Drosophila melanogaster: one gene and its partners. The gene in region 4 interacts genetically with the main gene of each other region. Each region holds a gene or a part of one and is shown on either strand. Other genes may lie near its edges. The genes, in order: NiPp1, Tm1, zip and flw.

Region 1 (3,862 bases), on a different chromosome or scaffold from region 4:
AAGTACCGTGGAAGATAATGAGCTACGATGAAGCCCTGCAAGTACTGCAGGAAAACAAGGACAGTCTTAAGACTCCTATTAGCCTGAACGAAGGATTCTCCAAGGACCAAGAACTTTTTTTAGTGGCCCATTGTGGTGCTCCCGTATTCGTTGTGGATTGGCCAGCTCAGCAGAAACCTTTTTACATGAAAGTCTCGCGTTCAAATCCCAATCGAGTTCATGCCCTAGACCTACTGATGCCAGCTGTTGGAGAATTATGCGGCGGGAGCCTGCGTGAAAGCGATCCTGCTATATTAAAATCCCATCCGCATCTGCCGAAGGATCTGGAATGGTACGTTGACTTGCGAAAGTATGGAGGAGTTCCAACTGGAGGATTTGGAATGGGCTTTGAGCGTTACTTGCAGCTTGTCACGGGCGTTAAAAACATTCGTGATGTGATACCCTTCCCCAGGTATCCACACAGCTGCAAGATGTGATCAGATAAAGATATTAAATGTTTTGTTTTACGTTAAAAGTCTAATAAACAAATATTACTCCAGAGTGTGTTGTCAATCATATGCTTGAGAAAATCGTAGGTGGAATCTTAATTATTTTGTTAATACGCAATTACAGCTGCCCCAACATGGGCTTGCGACCTGGCCATGCTTCCTTGGCGTATTTCTTTTTCTGTGGGCACAGCGAATCGCCTTCGCCACTCGAGTCATGCGGATCCTCACCAAAGCGACGAACTAAAATGGTGTTATAAACAATCAGTAAGTTTTTAAACAAATAGTCGCGAGAACTATTACCGTTTGCATTAGCGACGGCCAACTTTTGAGCCAATGTCGAGGTCTCCACAGCTTCGTCATAGACTGGCAGCACTTCAGGCGCAGGATTCGGGAGCAATAGGCCCAACTTGGAACCAATGCTCAGCGGGGAGATGGGCTCTAGGTCACCCTTGCCATGCATTTCGGCCGGTAGACCTTGATATAGGGAATTAGTAGGCGAGTGGAGCACCGCATTGGGCGGAGGCATTTCCCTATGCTGCTGCTTCATGTCAACTAGGCTCTGCTGGAACATTTGGTGTACATGTGCGGCATTGGCACTGGACAAACTGCTGTTGCCCGAATGGATGCCCATATGATTGACGTCGCAGCGAGCCCTCTTGGCGGGCACCACAGTGGTTTGTACCAAGTTCCTGAAGCGTCCCACATTAGGATCCACATCCTCAGGATTGATGACAATCTCCTCATCGTTAAATGTGACATTTCGAGTGCGCCGTCCCTGTTTCAAGGCGTTTTGCTTTCGCATATTGGTATCATCATCGATGCCCAGCATTGAGATGCGCCGATTGTGGGCTGTGTTGTATTCTGTGAGATTCTGCAGGATAATGGAAGGTTAGTTTACATAGTATTTAGCTTTTCTTTTCAACCAAACGCACATCAAGCTCCGTTTGGCTTTCGGGTAGGCCCAGGAGAGCTCCATCGCTGGTTTCACTGAGCGGCAGGTCTTCCATGATGTTGCTGTGGTGGCCAGAGGGTCGTTCCCTGAGTATGTAGTTCCGGGTAGAAGCCCCAAAGTGGAAGGTGCTATTAATCTGCAGCTGTGTGGGCTTGTGCGCTTCCAATCTGAGTGTTCCAATAAAGGTGCCATGAGCTGTCAAAAGTAAATGGATAAGCTTACTCCGAATCCCAGATATCTTAGTACCTACTGGACCCCAGATCCACGAGGTAGGCTATGTTGAGGTGCTTGTGGTAGACAAACGCCGAGTGGACCCGCGAACAAGAGGCATGGTCTATGCAGAAGTCGTTCATTTGACTGTTGCGACCAAATAGATAGCATCTTTTTTCATCCACCATCAGTTTTTGTACTAGTTTGTCGTCCTTTAGCACATCCAGATGTAAGCCAGTGGGCGGTTTTCCAGCCCTAAAATAAATAAAATGCTACGTGATTTTGTGGCAAGGCAGCGGCTGAATTTGACAACGCACCAACTGGGTATGTCGTAGCTGTTAGCCATACTTTTAACTTAAGTAAAATAGTTCGGAAGGTAAGTTTATACAAAGTGTTTATTTTTATGAAAAATCCTTAGCCAGTGTGTACACACAATTGACTAGTTGCCGATAATATCGGTTTAGCACAAGCAAATGCAAAGGGGCATTCTCGCGTAAAAAAAAAAACAATGAAATAAGAGTATTATTATTTTAAAGGAACTTACGCACAGTACAACTTTTAATCTTATATCTTTATATTTCTTAAATTGATTTTTGGCTTTTATAATATCTAATGTGTTTCAAATAAAAATCTAAATTAGATGAGAAGCTCATGTTAGCCGATGTTTTCGATGAGCTTCAGAGCTCCGTTACTATCGAGATACCATAAAATTTTTGCCGCCGCCTAAGGTATATTTAAATAGTTGTGCTGCGGTCACACTAAGCTCACGCAACGGACGGACAAATAAACATAAATAACGACATCTGAGTATTCTATAAATAATACGGGCAACTAGCGCTTCCTAGTCCAATTAAAGCGGCTTAAAAAATTAGTGCTGAAGAATTAACGGTTACATAAATGAAAGTTGCGTGTGCAAAACGCCTTTCGCTTTATTTGCTGATGCTGCCAAATCCGTAAACCTGTTTTGGATGCCCATGAACTCATCAACAGCCACCTTGTGACGTCCAAAACAACAAGTATTAATCATAGATAATTAGACGGCGGAAAAATGGTTACGGCCACGGCGATTGCGGATCTGTGCATCTTCCTTTTGACCTGGAACGTGGGCACCCATACGCCGCGAAATCAGGATCTGAGCTCCCTTTTGTCCCTTAATGGCACCACCACTTGTCCGGATAACCAGCTGCCCGATATCTATGTAATCGGATTCCAGGAGGTGAGCACCACACCGCAGGTGCTAAAAATCTTCAATGACGATCCGTGGGTGCTGAAGATCGCGGACTCTCTGAGCGATCACCAGTTCGTAAAGGTGGACTCGAAGCAGCTGCAGGGAATTCTTATAACCATGTTCGCACAGCACAAGCACATCCCGCACATGAAAGAAATCGAGACAGAAGCCACGCGCACGGGACTTGGAGGGCTGTGGGGCAACAAGGGTGCCGTAAGCATTCGACTTTCGCTCTACGGAACTGGCGTCGCATTCGTCTGCTCCCATCTGGCGGCGCACGATGAGAAGCTGAAGGAGCGCATCGAAGACTATCACCAAATCGTGGACAATCACAAGTACAATGCGCAGGGATATCGCCGGATATTCGATCACGACTTTGTCTTTTGGTTTGGCGATCTTAACTTCCGTCTCTCCGGCGATATGTCCGCTTGGGATGTCCGCACGGATGTGGAGAACCAGCGATACGCTGATCTGCTCAAGCTCGACCAGTTGAATCTGCTCCGGGAGAAGGGAAACGCCTTCAGCTTGCTGGAGGAGCAGCAGCCCAACTTTGCGCCCACTTTTAAGGTAACAATCTAATATACAATCTTATTATCTCTACAGTCAAAGTTTGCCTTGAACTTTCTAATCTTAATCTAAATAATGTATATAGGGGTGGGTGTAATTAATTTTATCTGCACTTGAATTTTTAATTTCCGCCAATCACTTCATCAATCAATCACTTCATTCGGCTCCACAGATTTCATGAGAAAAGCAAAATCCAACTAATTTATGAGGCAATATGTCGAATGTAATTAATTCGCCTTATCTCTAGCACCCATATAAAGTTCATTTGATTTTCCTTGCAGTTCGTGGAAGGCACTAATGACTACAACTTGAAGCGGCGACCCGCCTGGTGCGATCGGATTTTGCATCGCGTGCAGAGCAACATTTATCCGGGCATTACCCTGAGTGCCAACCAGCTGTCTTATCAGTCCCACATGG
Region 2 (4,727 bases), on a different chromosome or scaffold from region 4:
TGGAGATGAGATTGCGGCTAAAACCATGGTTAAGTGCAAGCCAATAAAGCAATTAGCAGATTTATGCGATAATCAGCAAGTGCAAGGGGAGTAGTATTCAAGTCCAAACATGGCTTGTGCGAAAGTGAAACTATATGGAAAATGCATTTGCATTTTATGATTAATTTAGCAATTTTATAACTTGTGTATTTACATGAGGATCCTGCAATCTGATTTCTGCACATATATGTATTTAAATTCATAACTTTAAAGCTCCCATCTTATCTGCATGTTATCAAAATAACTGGCAGATCTTTCTTCCATTTCAAGCTACACAGCGAGTTTTTTGCAATAATGGATAGCCATTTTTGGACGAAAGGTGGCAGAGTCAATAAATTATTCGGCCTGGCCAAAACCGAAACAACCAAGGCCCCCTTTTCGATGCCAGTCAGTCGCATTGTTCGAGCTTAGCCAACTGATAAATTGAGAATTTAATATTTCGACGGCGTCTCTTCACGACTTTTATTGTCCGATTCTTTCGCTGATGTTCTGAACTTTGAGAGTGTTTTCTCATCTCGTCACAGTAAATCATTTAAACGAGAATACCTAAAATTGAACCTTATTTTCTGGGATATACTTCGAAACACCGAAAGCAGGGTGTTTATTTATGCAGATCACATCGGATCGCGTGGTGTGGAGCCAAACGAAGCTGGACGAACTGGGTACATTCTCGAATAGAGAGTTCTGTCACCAGCCAAAATTGTGTCAGTAGATTCCAATCTGGGCCAAGAAATTGCTGCATAGATAAAGTCTTCTAAATCTTCGAAAGTAGAATGAGGATTTGAAATGATAGTAAGCTCATTTAATATATTTTTTTAACTAACATATATCATTGCATACTCTTAGGTGCCATATATGTTTACTCAAATCAATTTATATTTACAAATGTGCGCTTTATCTTGGAATTGCATTCTTATCAGTAAAGTGCAGATGCTGTAGCTACCATCCTCGAATTAAAAACCCAAGATGAATCACTCAGCTGCACTGGGCTATTGCCCCTTTTCTCGAGCAGCTCCAGACTTCTGACTCAATGTGAACGCAGCTGGTGGGTTTTTTGGCCCCTCCTTGGTGCCCATTGACACCCCCTTTGCCTTTCCTGGCCAACACGAAACCCACTTGACCAACATTTGTCATGGCTCGAACCGAGTGCAGCCGGCGGCTAATTGACTCGAATTTCGCCGCGTGAAATTTTAATTCTTTATTACGGCTCATCGCTGTCATTTGTTGTGTGGTTCTGCCTTAAACATGCATTTATTTTTAAAAACTCTGTTTACATTCCTGTGCCTGATCCGCCGAAGAGAAGTGGCATTGGAGAAAAAAGCGCCAATCGAATAAAGCCAAAGCCAAAAAAAAAAAACGTTGAATTTTAATGAAAACGCAATCGAGGCAAATTTTTTGTTCGCTTAAAAAACACACAGATATACATATATATATATATATAAATCTGCATGTGTATGGGCCATAAGTCGATTAAGGTGACACATTGAGTTATGTTTGCGTTGATTCAGCACAAAATTCCCATGACATCTTATAACTTTCGGCAATGACATATATATAATCGAAAAATGGGCCTACACCAAAGAGGTTTATGAGTATTAAGATCATCCTTATCAAGAAATGACGTTATCATTAGGAACAAAGTTAATATTTCAGGAAACAAAATGCGTATATGTATAACTCATTTTTTATATCTAACTAACTATGGCCAACTAACAAGCCATCCTTATGAACTGGCACCTCGCAATTCCTACTTTTCTGCCTAGTTTACAAGTTACAGATATTTTCCATCTGTATCCGACCTTATAAGATCTACCTTTCCACACAAAATTTACAAATTATCGCATGGAAAATTCGGAATTTAATCATACAGAATACAGAATTTTCTATTCTTAGAGTACGATATATACACACGTTGGTTCAAATGGGTCTAATGCATATAGATTCTTTAGCCAAATGCCTTGGGCGATACTCTAGCAGCTTTCCTGCTCTCTATTTCACTGTTTAGTATCTGTAGCACACACGGATTGTATCTAAAAATAGGACAGCCGAGGCATCTGTTGAATATCTAGCCTCTCCACGGATATTACTTAATACTAAGCTGAGAGGAAGGGAGCTTTCTGGGAAATTCTTGGCGCATTTCGCCTACGTTCGCTTCAGATTCATTTGGCAGCTAGGGCCAGCGGTCGTGGATCAGATTTCAAAGATACAAAACTGCAAAGTAAATGCGCGTGTTGCCCAGTTACTTGGAAAATAGGCTCAATGAATTCCTAAACATTTTGGATTAAAGAAAATTATAATTCAGGAAACCATTCCATAGCAAGGATAGCTATCTTGAAGTCTATCTCATTGATCTTTATCTTAAGAATGATTCCCTTACTTTCTCATATACAACATGACAATTTTAGTTTCTGAAAGGAGGAAAGAGAGCTCGATAATCCTCCTTTTGCCTTAATTCTTTACTTCTGCCGCTAAAATCTAAGATCGTTCGAAGTTCCCACTGACCATGTTTATATATCTCATGAAATACGTTTAGCTGAAACCCTATATAGCAACTTGCGGTTAGCAGACAAACTTGACAAGGTCCCCAGAATCGTTATTCTTAGTTTTTTTTTCGCGATCTGCAAAGGTGCTTAACCTCTATTTGGGTTTATTTCGATTCTAACTGGGAAAATTTTCAATTTTTTTCAATACTTGCGGATGATTAGGGTTGAGAATTGCACAGCACTTTGGTGGATTTTAAGTTAGATATTGCAGCAACGTTGTGGTTATGTAATTATACTTTTTGGTTCGATCCTTTTTTTTAAATAAGAATCGAATTCTAGCACAGTTAAAATTATTTTTGAAGCACTCGACAAGTATTTTTGTGGAAATATTCAGCGATATCTTTGTATTTTTTTTTGTATAATTTTTTACTGATCAACGATAACGTATTCCTTTTTACTTACAAAACTTTTATTCGGAGTTATCCGCGACTTGAACGGATTGTGATGTTCAACTGAAAATATTTATTCAATATGTTGACGTTCGATGCTCGCCGCTTGGTCGATTTCGAGCGGCTTGCGCTGGTGTGTGTGCGTGTGAGCCGCCGCGCTAGTGCGCCTGTGTGCGTGAGTATCTGTGTGCGAGAGTGCGCACTTTTCGGCCAAAAGCGAGCATATGTTGTTGCTGTCTGCGCCTACTTTGGAACTGCACTTGGCTCTCAATTTACCCCAAGAGCATCGGTAAATTGCTCGGCCGGGGTACAATAGCTTATACACTGCGCGAAATCAACAAAGGGGTGCATTTGTTCTTATTTATATACTCATATTTAATGTAATCATGCATGCTTTCTAATATCAGGACATTTAATATGCACTTTTGATTTAATGTATTTATAAATTTATGTCGCACTTATCATTTATCATCATTTACTCATGCTACTTTTGTTATTACAAATTTGAATTTTGAAATTCATTTATAAATTATATTAAATGTTTTTTTCATTCAGAAAATACTCCAAAGTGAAATGGGCTATGCCAGTTAAGAAAGCTGTACAACATTTCTTTACCCCTCAGCCCGTAATATATTTAATTTATGTTCCTATCCGATTTCTGCCAGTGTAACGGAAAGCATAAGATCAGAATTTCAAATACAGTTACAATTTATACACACACATTCAAGCCCGGCGCCTGCGCTCTCTCTCCGCTTTCTCTCTGCCTCTCTTTTCCGATCCTTTCCTTGGTGCTTTCACCTGTTCGCTGCACATGTATGGGTAATGCTCACTCATTTCGAATCGAATGCCTTTCTTTCAGCCTATTTTTGAATATTTCCCCGTATTTTGAAAAGCTCTTTTCACCCAGTGTTTTTGCCCATTGCAAAATATATCCAATACTTAGGCAATCGTGTCTCTTTTCCCGATGAGAGTGTATTGGTTTGGGGATCGTTTTGTTTTGCTTTTTGATGTTCTCAACTTCTATTTTTAATTTTCAGTTATTGATATGCCAAAAAATCTTGTTTCACGTAGTTATACGTACGTATTTCCCCCATAGGTCTACAGATTATTATTTTCTGCTCTATATATTAAAGCTCTTTCTATAGATTTTTCAACGTCATGTCTGCGAACGGAAAACATTTTGCTGGCAATCATAAATGTCACATATGAAAGTATACGTTTTTTTGTAACTGTCTCGCAAGAAAATGCATCCATGATTCATGCTTTTTTAAATTGCAAACGTGAAAACGGTTGAAATTCAGTTTCCCCATAATCGTTGAGTTTCCGATCTGGTGATATGCATATTTGCCCTTCTAGATTGCTTGCTTACTCGTTGATCACGCCCTTTTAATCTTATCGCCAACAAAATTGTTGGAGATCTTATATGTTCGAATGCAACTAAAGTCTTTAAATATAAACCTATAAATATAAGCCAATTTGATAGCCCCAACATATATACATATATGTATTTACTTATTCCATTTTTTGTTGTTCTCTTATCTTGGAGAACATTTGCCAGTCCGAGGTTGATGAAAATTTTAAAATTAACTCAAACAACACCCACAAAATGACGTAATTGTATTCATTAAAAACAAAAAGTTTTCGAAGCAAGAAAACTAGATCAATATATTTATAAAGACAAAGAAAAAAAAAAACAAAGAAGACATAGACATGGAAAAGACCCTTGAGAAAACGTCGAAAAACATTGTAAAATAGC
Region 3 (4,825 bases), on a different chromosome or scaffold from region 4:
TCCAAAGTATTAACTTTTCAATTTCATCGTTGGACAATGGAAAAGTAAGCTATGAACTATTAAAAGCATTTAAATAGTTTCAAGATCGCAAATATACATTAACCTATAACCCGAAACCTTCAATGTACAATATATCTAATCCCCACCAATAAACTTGCTCTCTGTGCAATTGATTCGATGAATCATCGCTGTTCAGCAAACAACATGAAACGAAATGTAGCCACGAACAAAAGGTCTCCTTGTGTATCCACCAGTAAATTACTGAATTTGGATATCACGTACGTGGACTGACGCCGCCATTATTCAGCGAATTCGCTTACATTTCGAAAAGCTGGAACAGTTGCTGGAAACGAAACGAGTGTTGACACAATTGGCGAATACCCTTTTGGACGGGTCCGTTCCCGTTAAGACGTAGCTGTATCTGTGGACATTCCAGCGGAGCAACAGTTGCGCTATATGCAAATTTCTTAACTATTTCCACCCGTCTCATGTGCCGTTCGTCAGTCGCAAAGAAATTTTAGCCTTTAGACAATCTGACGGACCACTCATGACAATCGAGCGTTTCGTTATTTTCGTTTTATTTCTGGGTTTTATCTCTGCCGTTGTCTTTTTGTGAGATTCCATTGTAAAGTAAATGTCTGTTAAAGTGATCGCGTAATTACACAAAAATGTGAAGTTGTTGGCTTTTGTTTTCGATGTTGCTTTTATTATACGAAGTCACCCAAAAGTGCTACCATTCTATGTACGGAATTATCTCTGGCAAATACAGCAATTACGGGCAGCCAGGGGAGAAAGGAGCGGTTGATAATTTTATCTGTTTACGTTTTTTATGGTCTTGAAATTAAGTCGTTGGAATGCAGTTGAATGACACCTGAATGAAATCGCTTTAAACTGAAGAAGAGAATAACAAGCCACACCGAAATTAGCAAAACAATCGGCTTGTTATCATAAGGCTTGATCGCTAGCAGTCGACCAAAGTTTTGAATTTGAATTTATAGGCCAAGAGCGGGCGCCCGAACTCCGAGGGAAGCGATTCTTTGGCGCAATCTCGGCTCGTTTCTTTGCTGGCCTGGCTGTGTGGTTGAGGCCAGAAAGCCCCACACAAGCAAGTCCACACCACAAATACCTAGCCACATTGAAAACTTGTTTTGGCCCGCTCTTAGTGGGAACTGCGAACTGGGGCCATTCCTGCTTCCACTCTCCCTCGGAGGTGAGTCACTGAGTCGAAGAGCGTCTGCATGCAAATTGGTACCAAATGGTCGCGGATTTGACCAAGTAAGAAGTTAAATGTGTCACACTACTACGGTGAGATTAATTCAGCATCAGCGCAGGAGAAAAGAGTGATTCAGCATCGACGCCAACGGATGTTTACCCAAGTTTATCACCGCGGTGCGAATGTAATGAAAATTCAAAGAAGTTGGGCCTGTTCAAAATTAAAAATAAACGGATCGGTGAAGCGTGATTCATGACCAATCGATGAGTGAGTCGGATGGCTCAAAAGGTGTTGGCTGATAAGAAGCGCAAAGCCGGGGACAAACACTGTGAAAATTGATTAGAGCACGTACAGCTAGGGCTAAAATATTATCACGATGTGTCGAACACACTATGTTCTATAATAACCATTCACTGCGAAGTAATACTTAGATATTAGATAGTTACATGTAGCAATTTTTTACGCAAAAGAATATGAAAATTAAACGAAAATTAAGTACATTTGGTAATTTTACAAAAAAAAAAAAAAAAACCATAATGGGCTAATGACTACCGACTTCACGAAATAAACAGCGTTATGATGTATCGACTGTATTTTTATCTCAGTTGTAGCAGTTCCTGTTGCATTTAGGCTATCTATAGGGTCTATTCAGGTAGTTCACTGAAACGGGCGTGGCTTCCGGGGTAGAAATCCCGTAGCAGAGGTTGCGTCCAGAGTAGGAACATGCTCTACGGGTAGGCATTACATTTAAGTAGACTCACCTGGTTCTCGTGTGGCACCCACACCAGACGCTTCTGTGTCCACTCGGCCTGCGTGGCCGGATCGTTGAACTGGTTGCGCTCCACCGAGAGGTACTTGAGCTCCGGATCGTTGCGATCTACTTCCTCCGACATTTTGGCGGCGATCTCTAAATAATTCCTTGTCTGTCGGTAATTAGCTGCTTTCGGATAATGGATATTGGATACTGGATATTCGCTTTTCGGATGCAATGCACTTTTCTGTCGGACAAAACAAATCGATGAGAACAATGAGTATGTTGCCTCGCTCCTCAGATACAATATTTCGCATTTATCTCGCGTTTGCGTTCTTTATCTCGGAAGTGCGGCACAAAACGGAGGCGGCGAGAACAGCGCGCGGCGAGAGTTTCAAAAGGGAGAGCGCGAAGGCGAAAGAAAGACGGAGAGGAAAAAATATGGCCACACATTTTCATTTTCTTAAGCCAAAGTCACCGCTGAACGTAGAAGAAGGGGTGGTGAAGTAATTTAGCGGAAAAATAGCGTTACGTAGCAATTAACCAGTTTGCATCTCCTAAAACTGCAGCTAAACACTATCAGAGCACCTTTTCACCTCCGATTTCGGATGTTTCAGTTTTCGGAGCAGGTACAAGCGGCTCTTTTTCTTCCTCTTCGTCTTCTCTCGCTTTGCTTCCCACTTGGTTCGTTCTGCAACACCGACACACAGCACGGCTCACACACACACACACATAGATCGCACTGGGAGCCAAGGTTTCGCATATTCGCATATTTCGCACACAAGTTTCGGTTTTTATGCTCCCATTTCCCCGCGTCAGCACAGCGTTTGTGCAAATGCAGCCAAATTCGACCGTGCAGTTTCAGCTGGCGGCGTCCCGACGCCGGCGAATAGGTCGCTGCATTCGCTGGATGCCTGTGCACATTTCCGATTTTTTTTTTACCGATTTTAATGCAAGCCAGGCGCTTTTCATTTGTTTGGCGACAGCTGCACCCACACACACTCACAAAGACTTCGACCGCAGTTCCTGAGCACGTCTTTTCGCTTTCCCCCTTTTTTTTTCACTGTTTTTCGCCGCTTGCCGTTTTGCCGACCGAGTACTTTTCGAGTTCGATGGTAATCGATGCCTTCCGATTCCATTCGGACATATCGATGCATCGATATGTCGTAGTTCACACGACGGCCGCGGCAGCGCTTTCTGAAAACACATACATCGATATGTCAACACTGATTAAAATTCTACATATGGATCGCATCTAGATTTTGTTTAAAGCACACACCTGTAACATTTTTTCAGGTCGGCCATTGTATTCCTCTATAACAGAATATCTAAGTTTTTAGCAAAGTATCGCATCAGCTTCCTCTGGTTCATGACTGCACTTAAGATCGAAATATTCGCGGCTTCAAGCCAAGCGGTGTCGATTGGAATCGAATACTTCCGGAATAGAAATGAGATTAAATTATTTTGCCGATTTCACTCACTTGCATATTCAGATGTAGCAAAGGATGTTTCCAACTCACTTTTCAATTTATAATATTGGTCAAATTAGTGCAAGCTAAGTATCGTATATGTCGATTTTACTTTTGACATATACGTAGTTCATTTAGTTGGACCGCACGACAACATCAAAATACCTTACCGCCTTTTTGTTTTTGGTGTTTTGCGGGGTCTCGCGTGCTGTCCTCTCTTCGAATCAGTTCTTGGTAAAACCAAACTTCAATAAACCGTTGGGTTAATGCGCGGATGTGCGGATACTTTCAGTTAATTTTGAATTTTTCGAGGAACGGTGAAGGTCCGCGCTTGAATCAGTAAGTCCAGTTCCGAGTATCACAGCCAGATGTGAGTGCTTGGCGCCAGTCGCAATTAAATTGACTTTAATAAAATATCTGGCGGGCTCCTTGCGAACTTTTAATTCTGGGGAAACGGACTTGAGTGATTCCAACTAAGAGCAAGAACACAGTTCCTTAAATGAAGTGCTACTTCTGGCAGCGTTCTTGAGATGCGCGCAGCATCCTTGGCAATGACGTCATTCGCCTGCTGACCAGTTTCTCTGTGTTCGTGTGTATGTGTGGCGAGAGTGCGTATGCGTGTGTATGTGCCGAAATTAGAGCGCAATAGCGAATTCAATTTGCATTTGCGGAAGAAATAACTGCAAACGAACAGAATCGATTGTTGTTGTCGCGAGTGCTTTGTTAAGGATAAGAAGAAGTCGCGACTAGTTCCGCAAAACTCTCACGTTTTGTCTATGGTTTCTCGTTTCCAGAATCCTAAGTGAGGGACTCCGAATAGGATTCATTGGATGACAAACTAACGTGCAGCCAGGAATTATCGATTCAGGTAAGCCATCGTTTCTCCTTGAAGCAACTGGGTCAGACAGCGATAATAATTGCACGTGTAGTTCCTGGTTTTCCACAAAATTGTCGTGGTAAGCTGAGCCACCCCATCTTCCCGAAACCTTCCAGCTTTATGCTGATAATGAATTTTTAATGTGCGCTGAGACTGCTAGTAGAAAAGAAAAAACAAACCCACATAAATTAAACTTGCAAAATCTTCAAAGGACAGAGAACTGCGTCGGTGCTTCCATTCCGCTTTTTTGGGAGGCTGTAAATTATGAAAGACCAGACAAGCGGTAGACAACAAGGTTTGCCCGTTCCCAAGGGATCCCGGGGCAACATAATCAAAGGCCTTTATTACTGGGCTGGAATCGGATGGGGCCCGTCCGGAAACCATGCCGCAGACGGCTTTCCTGGCCCGGAGTCCCGTGACAGGGCACGTTCGACCTAATAAGCATACGTCGTTGAGTAAATGGGGGCCGTGGAACTTTGCATTTACGACTCGGCAGAGCTGTAAGTGCTTCCGGG
Region 4 (4,960 bases):
CGTGGGTGGGTGGGGGGTTATAGAGGACAGCACGCTACTTAGAGTATGAAGTCTCATGGTCATGGTGACCACTGCAGTATGGCTTTTACTTTTGCACTGGACTTATGGATGATCATCAAACATCGACAAAGTGATCAATAGGGGAGGTTGTTCTTAGATTGAAAGTGGTAATACCAAACTCGGCGACGAAAAAATCGCGCAGTTTCAATCTGGATTTCTTGGGCTCCTCGCGCGGATGATGGACGGTGATCTGGTCGCCATCGGCCGATATCATCGTCTCGCTGGGCGGCGATATCGAGTATTGCTGGAGCAGACGGCGCTGCTGTTCGGTGAGATCGTCGAGCGGATCATGGCTGGATCCTGGGCCAGCGCCGGCACCAGGAGCACCAGCACCAGATCCCGATCCGTATCCGGATCCAAAGGAGGCCACCGCCGCCATCGACGAGTAATTGCTGCTGGATGTGGGCGATGTGGCAGATGCGCCGGATGCTCCGCCGGCGGCGGCCAATTGTTGAGCGATTAGCAGCTTCTGGGCGTGCTCTTCGGCCTCTTTTTGTTTTTTAAAGTCTTTCGAATGGATGCACATATACATATATATTCATATATACGTACACATATATATATATATATAGAGAGAGAGATCTATTAAAACTAAGGGGTGTGGGATAGGTGGAGTGGGCTTGCGGGAAAAAAGCATAAAAGAACACAAAAGGAGGGCGAAATTTCCATATTTCTCGGAAAAGCGAGAGCCAGAAAACACGACAGCCCGGCTAAGTGCCCTAAAAATTCAATTTCAATTTGCAATTTGACAAATGAAATTTATCTGCCGCCGCCGCTGCTTTTGCCATTTTATTTTCTTTTTTTTTTTTTGCTGCCGGTGACAGAGGCTGACGACGCTTCATAGATCAAAATTAATGGCATTTTTCGGGGGATGGGGTGGTGGGCGTAGTGCCATGACCTAGCCCACTCGATGACCTTGACAAATGGTTGTGGCCTACCTCGACCATCTCGCTCAATCTGCCCCTTTTGCCCATCGCCCATCTGCTTTGGCAGCTGAGAGTGGTTTACAGTGATCACTCGGTAGCTAACACGGTAAGTAAGGAAATATACTTTCTATGATATATTTACATACTTCATAACGTAGAAACATAACCGATATCTGAAAAGATTCTTCTCCGTTTTCCTTTTCCGCTGTGTTCTTCCGTCGAATGACCACTGTAGTTGGGTCGTGTCATATCAGCGCAAGAAATAAGTGAAACCGAAAGACAGAATCGGAGGAAGAAAAGCGAAACTCATTGCGGAAATGGACAAAAACCGAAAATCGCAATGTTCAAATGCAATTTCCCCGTGGCGTCGGTCAGAGCTAAAGCCAAATGGTGGCGGCGGCCCGCCCCCCGGAAAAGCGGAAAAGCCCATCCCGTCCCATGCCGTATCTTCGACATTGGCTGACACTTGCAAAACGAGACAAGCACTAAGCGGCTTAAGCAACCCTCGCAGATGTTGGGTTTTCACCAGGGCAAAGGCATATCGCATTCGAAACCTAGAAGAGGTTGCAAAAATGTAAACTATTTAGCGCTTTTACGCTTTGCAGGAAGGTTGCATGATGACGACGATGACACAGCCCCCACCACCCATTCTAAGCCACATACAGTGGATATCGGCTATAGCGGTCGATACCCAGTAAAAATTATATTGATATTGATCGCTGGATAAAAATATCTTCTTGGGGGCTAGGAAATATAGGATATATCGGTCGTAGATTTCTCAACCGTCTTTAGCGATAGTTGCGTGACACGAACAGCGATCCCACTCCAACGGGCAGTGGGGTTACTTGCGACAAAGCTCCTTATCGAGTAACTCATGTGATTCCGTTCCATTCCTTCGTCGGCGATTTCATAGCTACACATTCTGTTTGAATCACGCCCGTGTTTATCAGCTCGATGACGTCATTGCCAATATAGGCGAAACAAGAAAAAACACAGCTAATAAACCAAAAATCATTTGGGAGACATTAGCGCAGGACAGAGATGGCGTGCTTAACAGCGCGATCACTGTTAGTATTATGTAAACGCTAATGAGCGTAGCGTAGATGCTGTCGCTGTTGTTGTTGTTGTTTTTATGGTTTTTGCTGTTTTTCAAGAGGAGCAATGAAAATCAATTAAAACTAATTGATTCAAGAGTCAAATTCAAACGGTTGCAGCGGCAGCAGCGGTGGCGGCGGCGGCGGTAGAGAGAGGGGCTGTCGCAACAACAAAAAGAAAACCTACTACCATTTAAGCGAACAATGTGCAATAATTAGAAAATGCAATCGCACACACACACACACGCAGATAAACTGTGTAATAAATTAAAATGGGGACAGTGGCGTGGGAGGGGCGTAGAGGGTTTGGGGGGGAGGTTTTGGGAAAGTAGGATTGAAAGAGGGGGAAATTTCGCATCTACTTACTCTCCAGCAGCCGCTGTATCAAGCTGTCCACATTCAGATCGAAGTCGCCCATTTTTCAGCAGCTAAATTGTTCTTCTATTGGCCGCGTTTTGTTGTTGTGGCCAGCTGTTCCAGAATTCCGATTGGAATTTTTGGCGCAACAACTACACGCACGCACACACAAGCACACACACACGCACAGCGACGCCCGTTAGCTTATAAACTTGTATTGTATGCTATTGTAAACAATAAACTTTGTTTAATTCAAATAGTCGTTATATTCTTTTCTCTTTTTTGGTCGTTTTCTTACTTGCCGCAAAAGGCAATTTCACTTTATGCTCTCTTTTTTTCTTATTGAGATTTTGTACGGTGGGCCGCTGATGTTCACTGATGTTGCACGAGGGGCAAGAACAGAAAAAAAAATATATAGACGCACGGCTGATCGACTTTCGGGATCGCAAATCGATCAAGGAATATATAAAATATATATATCTATATAGATGTGTTAGATCTCTGCAGGGGGAGAGGAGCTGAGAAATCGGCTTAACTGAGAATTTATAAACCAGCGTAATCTTTTCTCCGCCAATAACAAAACTCGTCGGACAGCTAGCTGAGTATGACCGTTTGCCGGAAGGCTGAAAAAGTTTTTGGTGGCGGCGGCTTTACAGTTCGACTTTATCGATAGTCCGATGGGCAACGAAGCCAGCCAGTGCTCAGCAACGCGGGAGTTAACTGTCAAAGTCCTTTTTCGCACTTCAACGCTCGTGCCTTCAAACTTCTTACTGTGAACTCAAATCTCGACCGAACAAGTTGTGTGCTCCCTATGATTTCGTTATTAACTGATATTAACTACACACACATTTCTCTAATCCTTGCACACACATAGCTAAATCGAAATGGCTCTTTCGACCATCTGTCCGTTCCTCGTCGCCAACAAGAAAAACTCGAAGCACGCGGCTTTGCTATTTTTGATCTCAAGTGGATTGATGATTTTTAATATGGGCGACTTTATCGACGACTTGATGATCATACGGCTAGATTAAGATCAATTGTTCGAAATTGAAGTCAAAATAGTCATTGCCGGGAACGAAACCTTTATTTTTATTTGTTTTTGAAAGATGCAGATAAGCCTAAGAACTTGCGGAAGAAGTAACCATCTAATTGCAATCGTATCGAATTACTATTACTAAGCTGAGTTCACATGTTCCACATCATTTACAACTTTGAGTAATTATACCCTGACTAGTAATTTTATGTATAAAAAAATGTCAAGTGCAGGCTGCAATTTAAAATTCGCGCTGAAATAAGAGTAATTTTCCGGAAAAACTATTTACATATAATACATATAAATGCTTCGATATATATAGTACATAAAACCTATCGAGTGCCTCGGCATCCAGGCAAACAGCTGTTTCTGCCTCGATAGACCCCGGCAAAATGCATCTAATATCGATAGGCGATAGGTCGCGCACTTAAGAAATTGAATTTACCTAAAGTAAACACCAAACGAATCATAAAGCTGGGCCGCGCAATGAACGGAATGAACTATTTTCCGAACTATTACTCCATCGAGGACATATTCGTGACCCAGGAGAAGGTGGAATGTCGGGTGAACACCAAGCTGCAGCGGATGGGTAAGTGATTGGCTTGGACGGACACGCACATTCTGGCCAGTAATCCGACAATATTGAGTTGCTTGCAGGATTCCTGGACTCCGGCGCGGAATCGGATGACCTGGAGCCCGGCAGGACGGTCAATCTGCCGTTGTGGTACATCAAGGAGCTGAAGGTAAACAATGCCTACTTCACCGTCGCCGTGCCAGATATCTATCGCAATGTGCATAAGGCCGTCTGCGAGGCGGAGACCACGCACATCGAGCTGGGACGCCTGCACCCGTACTTCTACGAGTTCGGTCGCTATCTGACGCCCTACGATCGCAACCATGTCATCGGCCGCATCATCTTCGAAACGCTGCGCCAGAGGGTACGTCATCTCCTGGACATCTCGAAGAGCGACGGACAGGCAGCCAAGGCGGAGCATCGACTGGATAACATCGAGGCCAAGCTGCACGAGGCTGGAGTGCGCACCAACAGTCAGGTGGGTGGCTGTACTACCAGTCAAGTGGGCACGGAGTGTTATATTAATCACATAATTTCAGTACATCGAATGGCTGCAGATGACGGGCAACAAGATTCGCACCTCGGAGCTGGTCGAGGAGCACCAAAAGAAGCGGCGACGTGCGGATCGCAGCGATGACGAGGGCGATGCTCTGCCCAACAGCAAGCGGGCCACCTTGTAACAAGCAGAGTAAAACAACAAAAACAGACCACTGATGTACTGTGGAACTGTAGCAACTTTATTTCGTCCATTCGTTCGGTGGCCATAGGGCAGCCTGACCTCTCAAAAATACACTTTTCATCTACTCTATGCACACGGCTAAATCCATTTGTACAGTTCAAAATACATGGGTTTCGCATACATCTACGCATAACTAAGCATCCAATCCGGGACCGGTCTTAAACAAAACACATAGGA

The links.
Region 1: of flw (region 4) and NiPp1, changing one suppresses a phenotype caused by changing the other (phenotypic suppression), as found in Drosophila melanogaster (2 studies listed by BioGRID).
Region 2: of flw (region 4) and Tm1, changing one suppresses a phenotype caused by changing the other (phenotypic suppression), as found in Drosophila melanogaster (one study listed by BioGRID).
Region 3: of flw (region 4) and zip, changing one suppresses a phenotype caused by changing the other (phenotypic suppression), as found in Drosophila melanogaster (2 studies listed by BioGRID).

What each region holds. Positions count from the first base shown.
Region 1 is NT_033778.4:17,003,063-17,006,924, forward strand, and holds NiPp1 (nuclear inhibitor of protein phosphatase 1), read right to left. Parts: upstream 2,088-3,862; 5' UTR 1,997-2,087; coding exon 1,968-1,996; intron 1,906-1,967; coding exon 1,691-1,905; intron 1,636-1,690; coding exon 1,421-1,635; intron 1,360-1,420; coding exon 789-1,359; intron 729-788; coding exon 607-728; 3' UTR 501-606; downstream 1-500. Other genes in the region: AsnRS-m (Asparaginyl-tRNA synthetase, mitochondrial), read left to right, coding at 1-476; CG6805 (uncharacterized protein), read left to right, coding at 2,699-3,445, 3,727-3,862.
Region 2 is NT_033777.3:15,279,861-15,284,587, reverse strand, and holds the start of Tm1 (tropomyosin 1), read right to left. Parts: upstream 3,039-4,727; 5' UTR 2,985-3,038; exon of another isoform or gene 2,731-2,984; intron 1-2,730. UniProt on the Drosophila melanogaster protein: Tropomyosin, in association with the troponin complex, plays a central role in the calcium dependent regulation of muscle contraction.
Region 3 is NT_033778.4:25,008,406-25,013,230, forward strand, and holds the start of zip (zipper), read right to left. Parts: upstream 3,059-4,825; 5' UTR 2,937-3,058; coding exon 2,907-2,936; intron 2,804-2,906; exon of another isoform or gene 2,695-2,803; intron 2,212-2,694; coding exon 1,975-2,211; intron 1-1,974. UniProt on the Drosophila melanogaster protein: Nonmuscle myosin appears to be responsible for cellularization. Required for morphogenesis and cytokinesis. Necessary for auditory transduction: plays a role in Johnston's organ organization by acting in scolopidial apical attachment.
Region 4 is NC_004354.4:10,384,050-10,389,009, reverse strand, and holds the start of flw (flapwing), read right to left. Parts: upstream 3,051-4,960; 5' UTR 2,499-3,050; coding exon 2,447-2,498; intron 568-2,446; coding exon 175-567; intron 1-174. Other genes in the region: Psf3 (partner of Sld five 3), read left to right, coding at 3,957-4,059, 4,128-4,522, 4,584-4,724. UniProt on the Drosophila melanogaster protein: Required for cell adhesion in non-muscle tissues and in maintenance of muscle attachment. Vital for larval development.